2 linked regions of the Arabidopsis thaliana genome follow. The protein of the gene in region 1 interacts with the protein of each later gene in a pairwise test. Each region holds a gene or a part of one and is shown on either strand. Other genes may lie near its edges.

Region 1 (6,354 bases):
ATTCAAAAGAAAAGAACAGACTAAACATGTCGTTCTTATGTAAATTTTGCGGGAAATTAAGAGAAAATCGGTGAAAATTCAGGGAAAGTTCGTTAATTCTGCTTAAACGTTCGTTAAGTATCAATGAAAATCATAACAGAACAGAAGATAAACTTCTAGACATTAATATCATGTCTACCAAAAAAAAACTCAAATCAAATATAAGAACAAACAGAGAAAAAAGTGATTTGATTGAATGATTACATTGGAAGAGCACAACACACGGGAGAAGCTTCTTTGCTTTGGTCTACCGCCATGAAAGAGTGTTGGTAGGACACTTTTAAGATTTTCTCAGAAACCTGAAAACCTAAAAATAGAGAAGAGGATCATAGAAAGGAAATAGAAAGAAGTTAACATTTAAACCAAAAATAAATAAAAATAGAAAGAAGTTTTGAAGTTGGTGTTCGTCTCGAGACACCCGAAAGAAAAGGTTTTGTCTGTGTGTTTAAAATTTGATTTACTAATTTAATTGTTTTCCGTTGACCAATGGTATATCTACTAGTAGTTTTTTTGTTAAGCTAATAGTTAGACTCTAAAATGACTAAATCCTATATTTGGCAATATGCTTTTGATTTTCTCTTTTTGGATTGAACTCAGAGGCATTCTCTTAGCTTCATTCATTTATGGCAGAAAGGGTTAAGGGTCCTTAAAAATCGCTTCATCTGTCGGTCTCGTTATCCAAACTCATATTCCTAATTTAGGTCTTTTAAGGTTTTAAAAAACTACTTTCTTTATCTTGTTGATAAGGAATTTATAAAAGATCAAACTTGAGTAATCTAAGTAGTTTTAGTTTTACTAATTTCATTTACTGTTACTAATCAATTGTAGATATTGACATTCTTGTATATATTGCGACCTGATAGTAATTATCTTTAATTTTCTATATGTTTTTATTCAAGTAGTACTCTGTTTTGTATTTTCTTTCTTGTGAATAGAATATTTTCTGTGTGTATATGATGCAGAAAGCCTGCATTAAAACCTGCATTGGCTTTATTGCTTTGCACCGTTTATTTATTTTTATGATTCTTATTTTTGTGATTAACAAATATTATTTCAAGTGACTCTTATATAAGTTTTGGATAGTTAAACCACGGACCACAATCATGTTGGAAGTGATTGTTCAATACTTCATTGTTGTATAAGAGAGGGGACATCGATCATTTATGTAAATCTTGTTAGGTACTGTTCTGTTCTATCAATCTATCAATAGTCCCTACGCTAACTTTCTGTACCCTCGATTAAATAGGTTTTTGCTCAATGACGCTGGGTCCAAATTGTAATGACTCAGTTCAACTTCCGCGACAAAATCATTTTCATAGATTTTGATGATTTCTATAGTGGGCGGTTTTTTCTATACATCTTACATTCGCAAGAATTTGAATGATATTAGCCCATATGACGAGAAGAAGAATAATTCATTACTTATGTGGTTAATGCGGAGTGGAAACGAATATCTCATGGCCAACTACAAATCCAAATACTGTCTTTTGAATCCCTGTAGTTTTATACTATATGATCTAGAGTTTTTTTTGGATTTTGTCTCCCAAATTAGAAATTATTATAGTATCAACTATCCATCACATTTATAGAAAAAAAAAAAAAAAAAAACTATCCATCACAGCTTGGATCTTGCGGTGGGCCAGGAAAAAACACATGAGCATCGGATCTGTGGAAAACAACTGTCTTATCGGGTCAAACCTTTGAGTCAATTACACGTTACTGTGCATGTCATAAACCATCACCAAAAAGGAAAACAAAATAACAAACCATGCATCTTACTTACCCAGTAACACAATGCATCCATAATGTACATAGTATTTGTGAATTTTTTGAGGAAAGTATTAGTGAATATTATTACTATGAAATACCATGTAATTACTTCTGAATTATCTTACTTAAGAAAATTCAAGTTTAGTCAATCAACATTAAAACTATAGAGAACCCCCAACGTGTAATAATGCATTGGGAGTTGGGACTTTCATAAAATCTCGAATAAATTAATTCAAATTGTCTAATTCGTCCAAAATTATCCTGCATGGGTTTTAGCTAAGCCAGCCTAGCTACATGTACTGATTTATACAGAGATAAATATAGACATGATATATATCAATAAATTAGGAACAAATCAGAGTTTTTAGATCTAAAAACACGGTGCCTTCTCATTTCCTCCGGTGAGTTATCCAAATCTTGTGTTTCTTATCATATATCCTATATTTTATCTACATAAAAATTGATAAGTATTCGTTGAATTCAAAGGGCATTTTACGAAGAAAATGGAGACAAGAAAAGACGACATGGAGAAAAGGAACGACAAATCCGAGCCGTTGCTGCTGCCGGAGAATGGATCCGACGTCTCAGAAGAAGCATCATGGATGGTTTATCTAAGCACGATCATTGCCGTTTGCGGTTCCTACGAGTTTGGAACATGCGTAAGATTCTTTTACGACACCTATTACTTTGGAAATAAAAGATGATGAGAACCTAAGAATTTGTGACGATTAATCTTTTTGATACGAGAAAATCTGTGTTTGTTTTTTAATAGGTGGGATACTCCGCTCCAACACAGTTTGGGATTATGGAAGAGCTTAATTTATCATATTCCCAGGTTTATATTAAATTGATTAAGTCTTCTACGTTTATAGATGCATGTTTAACAATATTTTGCTTAATCTTTTTTTTTTTTTTTTCTCTATTGGAATCTAGTTTTCGGTTTTCGGATCGATATTGAATATGGGAGCAGTGCTCGGCGCCATTACATCGGGGAAGATTTCTGATTTCATCGGTCGGAAAGGGGTAAAACCTACCTAAACAAAATTGTTTTTATCTCAATATACACACAATAAATCCTAAGAAAAATATACCATTTTTACGAAATATAAAATTACTTTTTGGCTCACATGGTTTTTGTCTTTGAGACAGGCCATGCGGTTGTCTTCAGTGATCTCTGCCATCGGCTGGCTGATAATTTACTTGGCCAAGGTTATTCTTTTGGCTGAATTTCTTCAATAGCTGTTTTCAAAAAAAGCTTTAAAATAACATGGAAAATCTGCAACTAAATAGTGATGTTTTTTTTTTAATATTAGGGTGACGTACCTTTGGATTTCGGAAGATTTCTAACGGGTTATGGTTGCGGTACCCTTTCCTTTGTGGTACGACATTTTCATAAGCATTTTCCCCTTATGGATAAAAAGCCATGCATAGTGTTATAAATTAATCAATAAATAAAAATTCCTTTTTATATATGAAACTTTTTGGAAATCCACATTTGGCACCGATTTTGTGTAGGTACCGGTCTTCATCGCCGAAATTAGTCCGAGAAAATTGAGAGGAGCCTTAGCGACGCTTAACCAGGTGATGATGATGTCCTTTTATTTACTACTGCATTAGAAAATGTACTGATTACAATAGAATCAGAGCTAGCATATGTGTTGGTGTTTTCGAGATATTTGACATTGTATCACAAATTAGGAGTATTTTGTGGTCAAAAAAACAAAAATCAAAACAGTATTTAGAGTTATTTAAATCTTTTAAAAGACAACAAAAAATTATTGTTTTATTTCTGAAATAAATTGAAATTGTTAATATTGCAGCTCTTTATCGTAATCGGATTAGCTTCTATGTTCCTCATAGGCGCCGTCGTAAATTGGAGAACTCTTGCACTAACCGGTAAACTTGTTTGTGCGGTAGCTGAACCGGAAATATTTGTTGTTGGTTTAGTAATTATACAAAATTAGATGGTATAAAATTTAATTTGGGTATAACAAAACGAGGTTTAATTAACCAATTTCAGGAGTTGCACCGTGCGTGGTTCTATTCTTTGGGACTTGGTTCATCCCTGAATCACCCAGATGGCTGGTAAGATCAACGATCGTAACTCAACATATGGTTGAAATTAACCTCTTAACATTAAAACCAAAAAAAAAACTAACCGACCCAACTCATATGCATTTTGCGTTTCAAGGAAATGGTTGGCCGCCACAGTGATTTTGAAATTGCGTTGCAAAAACTGAGGGGTCCTCAGGCCAATATCACAAGAGAAGCCGGGGAAATTCAGGTACAATCTAAAACCAGAAAATCGGTTTTGTTACGTGACATGACATTTTTCGTGTTTTGAATTCCGGTTTATAGGAGTACTTAGCGAGTCTTGCTCACCTCCCGAAAGCCACATTGATGGACCTTATTGACAAAAAGAATATTCGATTTGTGATAGTAAGAATCTCTAATTCCATTCAACCGATTATAACTATTTCCCGGTTTGATTTGGTTAAATCTTATTTTTCTATCTATTCAGGTTGGAGTTGGTTTGATGTTTTTCCAACAATTCGTTGGAATTAATGGCGTTATCTTCTACGCACAACAAATATTCGTATCAGCAGGTTATAATTCGAAAATGATCTAGCAAATGTTATAATCTAACATACTCCATTTCTAGACCATTCATCGGTTTTTGTTCCATTTTTGGAGTACCAGGAGCATCCCCAACTCTTGGAAGCATTCTATACTCGATCGAACAAGTCGTTCTCACAGCACTAGGCGCAACATTGCTAATTGATCGGCTTGGAAGAAGGCCACTTCTTATGGTATGGTTCTTGTTTCAGTTTCCAATAAATCCTAGAATACCGGTTTAGAGTATTCGGTCTGACCATGCGGTACATTGCAGGCTTCAGCTGTTGGGATGCTGATTGGATGTTTGCTCATCGGAAATTCATTTCTTTTGAAGGTCAATCATATGAAAAATAAAATTAAAAAATTAAAGCGTATAATGTCAGGAAAAATATAGGACGTTTAGGTTAACCGGTTTGATTTTGGTTTTGACAGGCTCATGGTTTAGCACTTGACATCATTCCGGCTCTGGCAGTTAGTGGTGTCTTGGTAAACATCTATAAACCTAATTTTGGTTTCAATATATATGGTTTGGTCTTGGTTTTTTCCTCGGTTGACCCAAAACCCAATTTCCAGGTCTACATCGGTTCGTTCTCTATTGGAATGGGTGCAATCCCATGGGTTATAATGTCTGAGGTAATTTCAAAACAATATATAATGTTCATATTTCATTATTTTTTCTTAATCTTGTCATTACATTAATTTACTCTTTTTTTATACTTCCAGATATTTCCAATAAATTTGAAAGGAACTGCCGGAGGACTTGTCACTGTAGTAAATTGGCTAAGTTCATGGCTTGTCTCATTCACTTTCAACTTTCTCATGATTTGGAGCCCTCATGGTATATTACATTTTTTTTTGTTATTTTATATACATAACTACTAGGTGAACAATCAGTATTGATCGCATTTCTTTGTTTTTAGGTACATTTTATGTGTATGGTGGGGTATGTGTATTGGCTATTATCTTCATAGCAAAACTTGTTCCTGAAACTAAAGGCAGAACCTTGGAAGAGATTCAAGCAATGATGATGTAACTCTGTAAATATATAATACATGTTAATTTTTTATTTTTTTTATTAAGGTATAACTATCTACATGCAAACGCATACCATTATCAATATAACCGAAAGGCTTTATATGTATTTTATGAATTTAATTTTGGATTTTCAGATTTCGTAAATCGAAAGAATTATGGCATGAAAATGTTCTTTAGTCAAGAAGTGGGCATGTTCTCTCGTAAAGAGGCTTTTCTCGAATCAATCAAACACACAGTCATACCCTTCAAATTAGTGAGGAGGATATTGTTCACTACTATCCCGCCATCGATTTTTCTTCTTCTCAATTATATCATACATAATGGGCCTTACTTTTGGGCCTTCAGCTTTCAAGAGAATTTTACTCGGTAAATGAATAAAAGAGTCTTAACTCTTAAGTGCGTTTACGATTTCCGATATTCTTCTAACGTTTAGTTTGATTTGACTTGATACAGTGGAAAAATATGAACGTTGTGAAACGGTAACATTTTCTTACCGTTTGAATCTATAATATTTGATTGGAAAGAAATTTAAATAATGACTCTCTATAAATACTCCTTTCTTGACTCTGAAATCTGAATCCTCTTTACTTGGTTTATTTCTTACAAATGTCGAGTACAATCTTTTTTTAGTTCTGTTTTTCCACTGGAGGAGTTCTCTCACTCAAATTTTATCTACATTGCTCATTAGCCGAGAGAAACAAAACATAAAAAATCCTCTTACAAGGTAAAATACTCTGGTCTTGATTCTTGTATATCGTTTTGCTATTTAAACGGTTCTTGTTAGTTGTTAATAAATATACACGTTCTTCATCTTTTAAGCTGCATCTTTAATGGAGTTGAACTAAGAACTTAAATGCTCTGTTTTATACTTAGTTTATACATTGCTGTCTTGAC
Region 2 (5,498 bases), on another chromosome or scaffold:
CGATATCACCTTGCACATGACAATTAATGTCAATCTTGACTAGTTCACATTCTGCCTGCAAAACACAAAGAGTTGAGTAAACAACATCGAAAAGCCATTAAATCATATTGCAAACAAGGAAAAAGAAAGCTAAGAAGCACAAGAAACAGAAAACCAACAGGGCTAATCAGTGATCAAATATATTTCTTTTTCTAAGACCTTCAGATGCAATGTAACACAGGCTGAGTCAGAGGTCATAATTATAAGAACGCTATGAATATTCTGAGAAATACCTGCTTGTAGACCCTCAGGTGTTTCCCTTTCTTGGGAGTAGTGTACAAAAGCTTAGGCTTTTTATCATCAACAAAAAAGGGATCCTGACCATATATTCGAAACATAGGGCGAAAGCCTCCTTGTCCACTAACATCAGGAATAAATCTCAAAATAACACAATCCATGGTGAGAGCCCTATCCAATGGAGGCCATTCAGAGACCAAATTCCTTCTTGACACGTACTGTAGATAACGAAGCTGAGAAGGAATTGGGTTCAAGGGCGAGAACAAACGCAGAAGCTCACGCGGAGCCTGCTTGTAGATCATGTCCAAAGTCTTAGACTCACCACTATACTGCTTCCTGTATATAAGGAGGGCAGCTAGCATAAAAGCTAAAACAGGCCAAGCCCCACTTTCACAATGCATTAGTAACAAGTTATTTGGCCCAAGCGAGAGCCAACTTTCACTTGACCGGAGAAAATGATGCATCACTTCCACAGGTAACAATGAGCAGCCTTCGTAGTGCCGAGGATAATCCATTATAGTCAAGCCATGTTCAGATAAGACATCAGCCATCACACTTCGAGTACCCACTTCACGGAAATTAAACACAAGAGAAGATGCTTCAGGGAAATGCTCTTGTAGTTGATTGACTACTCCTGCCATATAAACTTTGTAGTTTTCTTCTTCCCATGAATCGGTAGAGAAGCAGCAATCGAACACTGCAACACACACAGAAGAAACTTTTTTCAGTTCAATGTGTTTTTTGCCAATCATGATAAAATGAAATTTCATATCTTGATTTGTAAAACTCCCAAATTTCAGACAAATTAGCGTAAAAAGTCCCAACTTTTCAGACACTCAATCCCAGAAGACCGAACAAGTACAATGAGCTAAGGAAAAATAGATAAATGAAGCAGAGAATTGGGAGAGAAACAGACCGAAAACTCTGTCGCATATCTCGAGCAAACCATCTGGAGGCTTGCGGTAGAACAATTTGCGAAACAATGCCATTTTATCAAAGTCTTAAAACCTCTCTTCGAATTTCAAAAATCGACAACTTTTGAGTTTTCGTTTGATTACAGAATTTGTAGCGAAAGATGCTCCTTTTTGGTATGAATCTGTTAAGGTGATGTTGATTGATCTTCGAACAGAGGAAAAGGTCAGCTGGCGCGTTGTATGACGTGGATCCCACGATCAGCCGCCAACTCTCTACCCGACCTGACACGTGTCTTCTCATCTACGGACGAACCGGCATTTATCTCTCGGCCCATTTAATTCCTCTTAATGGGCTTTTCCTTTTCGGCGCACAAGTTGTGATATCTCGACTCTGTTTTGCTAGCATTGTTTCTTCATTCTCTCTAATTGCAAGTTTCAGTCTTTGAATCCGATGAAACTCAGATAGCTATTGGAGCTCTGTTTTAGCATAAGATTGCTTAAAATAGTGAGTGGCTATTTTTATCCAGAAAATGAGCTATGAATCTGATGAGTTGGTTTAAACTACATTGATGGCTCTTGTTTTTATTTTCTCTTATTTGCGGACATTAAGGCGCCAGTTTAGGGGCTAATCAGAGGAATGAATGATTCTCAATTTCCAAGGTATCTGTGACAGAGTCAAAAAAGTGTGAAAACCCCTAAAAAAGTGAATTTTTACATTAATAACCAAAACACTACTGAAATGAGAAACCACAACAACCACCCACTCCTCCACTCACCAAATCCATTGACAACTTTGGGATTTGGAAAAATTCACAAAAGGTCTGAGACAGATTCCATTTATCATATTTTTCTTATAACTCACTAGCGAAATACTTTACCTAATTATAATCTCCACATATCCCTTTTTTTGACTTTCAACGACTCTCTCTTCTCTTCCCACTTTCTCCAGTGTCCATATACGATACAACCAAAAACTCAACTCTCAACTCCGGAACTCCCCCAAACTATTCAACTCTTATCTTCTTCTTCTGAAATTTCATAGCTTTCTGACTAAAAGTTCTGATTTTTTTTGAAGCTGTGCACGTGAAAGGGATTTCAATGTATTCTAAACTATCATCACCTCTATGCCCCGTGATTCCATTATGTCTTTTCTTCTTTTCACACAGTCTGTCTTCTTTCTGAGCTTTCCCATCCAACTTTCTCCAGTCCCAGACACCACCAAGTTATGAGGTTGTCTCTATGGGGATCTCTCCTGTTCTTCTCCTTCTTCGTCAAGCATCTGACGAGCCTAGATCCCAACACCGACGCTTATCATCTCTCTAGCTTCTTCTCCGCAATGAGATTACCCAATTCTCCCCAAGCTCATACGTTTTCTTCCTTGTGTTCATGGCCAGGAGTGGTCGTCTGTGACTCTAGTGAGAATGTGTTGCATATTTCGGCTTCTGGGTTGGACCTGTCTGGTTCGATCCCCGACAACACTATTGGCAAAATGAGTAAGCTCCAAACTTTAGATCTCAGTGGAAACAAGATTACGTCTCTCCCCTCGGATTTGTGGAGTCTCAGCTTGCTTGAGAGTCTCAATCTCTCCTCCAACCGGATTTCTGAGCCTCTTCCCAGCAACATCGGCAATTTCATGTCGCTTCACACCCTTGATCTTTCTTTCAACAGCATCTCTGGCAAAATCCCTGCCGCAATAAGCAACCTTGTCAATCTAACAACTCTCAAGCTCCACAACAATGACTTTCAGTTTGGCGTCCCTCCAGAACTTGTCCATTGCCGATCTCTACTCTCCATCGACCTCTCATCCAACCGCCTCAACGAGTCTCTGCCTGTCGGTTTTGGTTCAGCTTTCCCACTACTAAAAAGCTTGAACCTTTCACGAAATCTGTTTCAGGGTTCATTGATAGGAGTCTTGCATGAAAACGTGGAAACAGTTGATCTCAGTGAAAACCGATTTGATGGGCATATCTTGCAGTTAATACCCGGCCACAAACACAACTGGTCTAGTCTGATTCATCTTGACTTGTCCGATAATAGCTTTGTCGGCCATATATTCAATGGTTTGAGTTCAGCTCACAAGCTGGGACACCTTAACCTCGCGTGCAATCGATTCAGGGCACAAGAGTTCCCAGAAATCGGCAAGCTTTCTGCGCTACATTATCTGAATCTATCAAGGACCAATCTCACTAATATCATTCCGCGTGAAATCTCGCGGCTGAGTCATCTGAAGGTTCTTGATCTCTCCTCCAATAATCTCACTGGCCACGTGCCTATGCTGAGCGTCAAGAACATTGAAGTACTTGATCTCTCGTTGAATAAGCTAGACGGAGATATCCCAAGGCCGCTTTTGGAGAAACTCGCCATGATGCAAAGGTTTAACTTCTCTTTCAACAATCTAACCTTTTGCAACCCCAACTTCTCCCAAGAAACAATCCAGAGATCCTTCATTAATATTAGAAACAACTGCCCCTTCGCTGCAAAGCCAATTATTACAAAAGGAAAGAAAGTCAACAAGAAGAATACAGGGCTTAAGATTGGTTTGGGGTTAGCAATCTCCATGGCGTTCTTACTTATAGGACTACTGCTCATACTTGTAGCCTTGAGAGTTAGAAGAAAATCAAGAACTTGGGCAACAAAGCTAGCCATAAACAACACAGAACCCAACTCCCCAGACCAACACGACTCAACCACTGATATCAAGCAAGCAACGCAAATCCCTGTGGTAATGATCGACAAGCCATTAATGAAAATGACGCTTGCAGACCTAAAGGCTGCGACTTTCAACTTCGACAGAGGCACAATGTTGTGGGAAGGCAAGTCTGGTCCTACTTACGGAGCAGTCTTACCCGGTGGATTCAGAGCAGCTCTAAAAGTTATCCCAAGTGGAACCACATTGACTGATACTGAAGTCTCGATTGCATTTGAACGTCTCGCTAGGATCAATCACCCAAATCTTTTCCCGCTCTGTGGATACTGTATAGCGACAGAGCAAAGAATTGCAATCTACGAGGACTTAGACATGGTTAATTTGCAAAGTCTACTCCATAACAACGGAGATGATTCTGCACCTTGGAGACTTCGGCATAAGATAGCTTTGGGGACAGCGAGGGCATTAGCTTTCCTTCACCATGGCTGCATTCCTCCAATGGTCCACGGAGAAGTGAAGGCTGCAACAATCTTGTTAGACTCTAGCCAGGAGCCACGCTTAGCAGACTTTGGTTTAGTTAAACTCTTGGACGAGCAATTTCCCGGTTCCGAAAGTTTAGACGGGTACACACCACCGGAACAGGAGCGAAATGCTTCTCCGACATTAGAATCCGATGTGTATAGCTTTGGAGTTGTTTTGCTTGAGCTCGTGAGTGGGAAGAAGCCGGAGGGTGACTTGGTGAATTGGGTGAGAGGGTTGGTGAGGCAGGGACAAGGATTGAGAGCCATTGATCCGACGATGCAAGAGACAGTTCCGGAGGATGAAATCGCGGAGGCGGTGAAGATAGGGTACTTGTGTACCGCCGATCTGCCATGGAAGCGACCTACGATGCAGCAGGTGGTTGGACTTCTCAAAGACATTTCTCCCAACTACTAGTGGGCTAGTTATGGGCCTCATAATGGGCTTATCACACTTAACATGAATATTAACATGGCTCTTAAGTTTGTATGTTTATTGTTGTTGATTAGAAGAAATGGAAAAACATGAAAAGAGCCGTTTATATTTAAGCAACTACAAGTACAACAACACCTTGGCTTTTATTGAGAAGAAGAGTTTTGCATAATTTGAGAATCAAAGGCAGAGAGAGGAAGAATAGGATTAGAAGAGGTCAATGTCCAAGTCCGTAGAATTCACAAGCACTCCATCATCTTCCCACTTTATATCTTTGGCATTCGGATCTTTTTCGATTATGCTCAACGGTGCATCCAGTGGTGGAGGACTCTGTATGCAATCACTCTATTATATCAGCCAACAACAAACACGGAAAAGGCTGATTGATATAAAAATAACGATTATTAGTCCTACCATGCCTCGTATGAGAGGCCAATTGATCCCGCGAAAGAAAGCATGCTGCTTTATCTCATTTGCCCCACCTTTGGATCCTAACCGACTGCTCGGATCTCTATTTAACAACGTGTTGATCAACTGTCTACCTACAAGACTCACCTGCACAAACACATATGGTTAGATTAGTATTTTTTTTACTTTGGGAAAGACACACAGGTTGTTGTTACAAGGTAGCTCACAGGGATACTGCTGGGGAAAGTGAGATCTTTGTGCAAGATGTTGGCAAATGTCTTTTGCCTATTCTTACCCCTGAA

Evidence for each region.
Region 2: the proteins of AT3G05150 (region 1) and AT5G58150 interact in a protein complementation assay, tested with the Arabidopsis thaliana proteins (one large-scale study listed by BioGRID).

The regions. Positions count from the first base shown.
Region 1 is NC_003074.8:1,437,904-1,444,257, forward strand, and holds AT3G05150 (Major facilitator superfamily protein), read left to right. Parts: upstream 1-2,169; 5' UTR 2,170-2,210; intron 2,211-2,222; exon of another isoform or gene 2,223-2,295; 5' UTR 2,296-2,312; coding exon 2,313-2,468; intron 2,469-2,581; coding exon 2,582-2,644; intron 2,645-2,742; coding exon 2,743-2,832; intron 2,833-2,958; coding exon 2,959-3,018; intron 3,019-3,122; coding exon 3,123-3,188; intron 3,189-3,324; coding exon 3,325-3,390; intron 3,391-3,629; coding exon 3,630-3,705; intron 3,706-3,829; coding exon 3,830-3,894; intron 3,895-4,000; coding exon 4,001-4,093; intron 4,094-4,167; coding exon 4,168-4,248; intron 4,249-4,330; coding exon 4,331-4,415; intron 4,416-4,509; coding exon 4,510-4,619; intron 4,620-4,699; coding exon 4,700-4,759; intron 4,760-4,857; coding exon 4,858-4,911; intron 4,912-4,998; coding exon 4,999-5,058; intron 5,059-5,148; coding exon 5,149-5,263; intron 5,264-5,345; coding exon 5,346-5,454; coding exon of another isoform or gene 5,455-5,458; exon of another isoform or gene 5,459-5,594; and 3 more. Other genes in the region: RBK2 (ROP binding protein kinases 2), read right to left, coding at 244-296. UniProt on the Arabidopsis thaliana protein: Sugar transporter.
Region 2 is NC_003076.8:23,529,491-23,534,988, reverse strand, and holds AT5G58150 (Leucine-rich repeat protein kinase family protein), read left to right. Parts: upstream 1-2,148; 5' UTR 2,149-2,415; coding exon 2,416-4,773; 3' UTR 4,774-4,908; downstream 4,909-5,498. Other genes in the region: AT5G58160 (actin binding protein), read right to left, coding at 1-55, 273-973, 1,193-1,265; PHOT2 (phototropin 2), read right to left, coding at 4,996-5,118, 5,203-5,343, 5,424-5,498.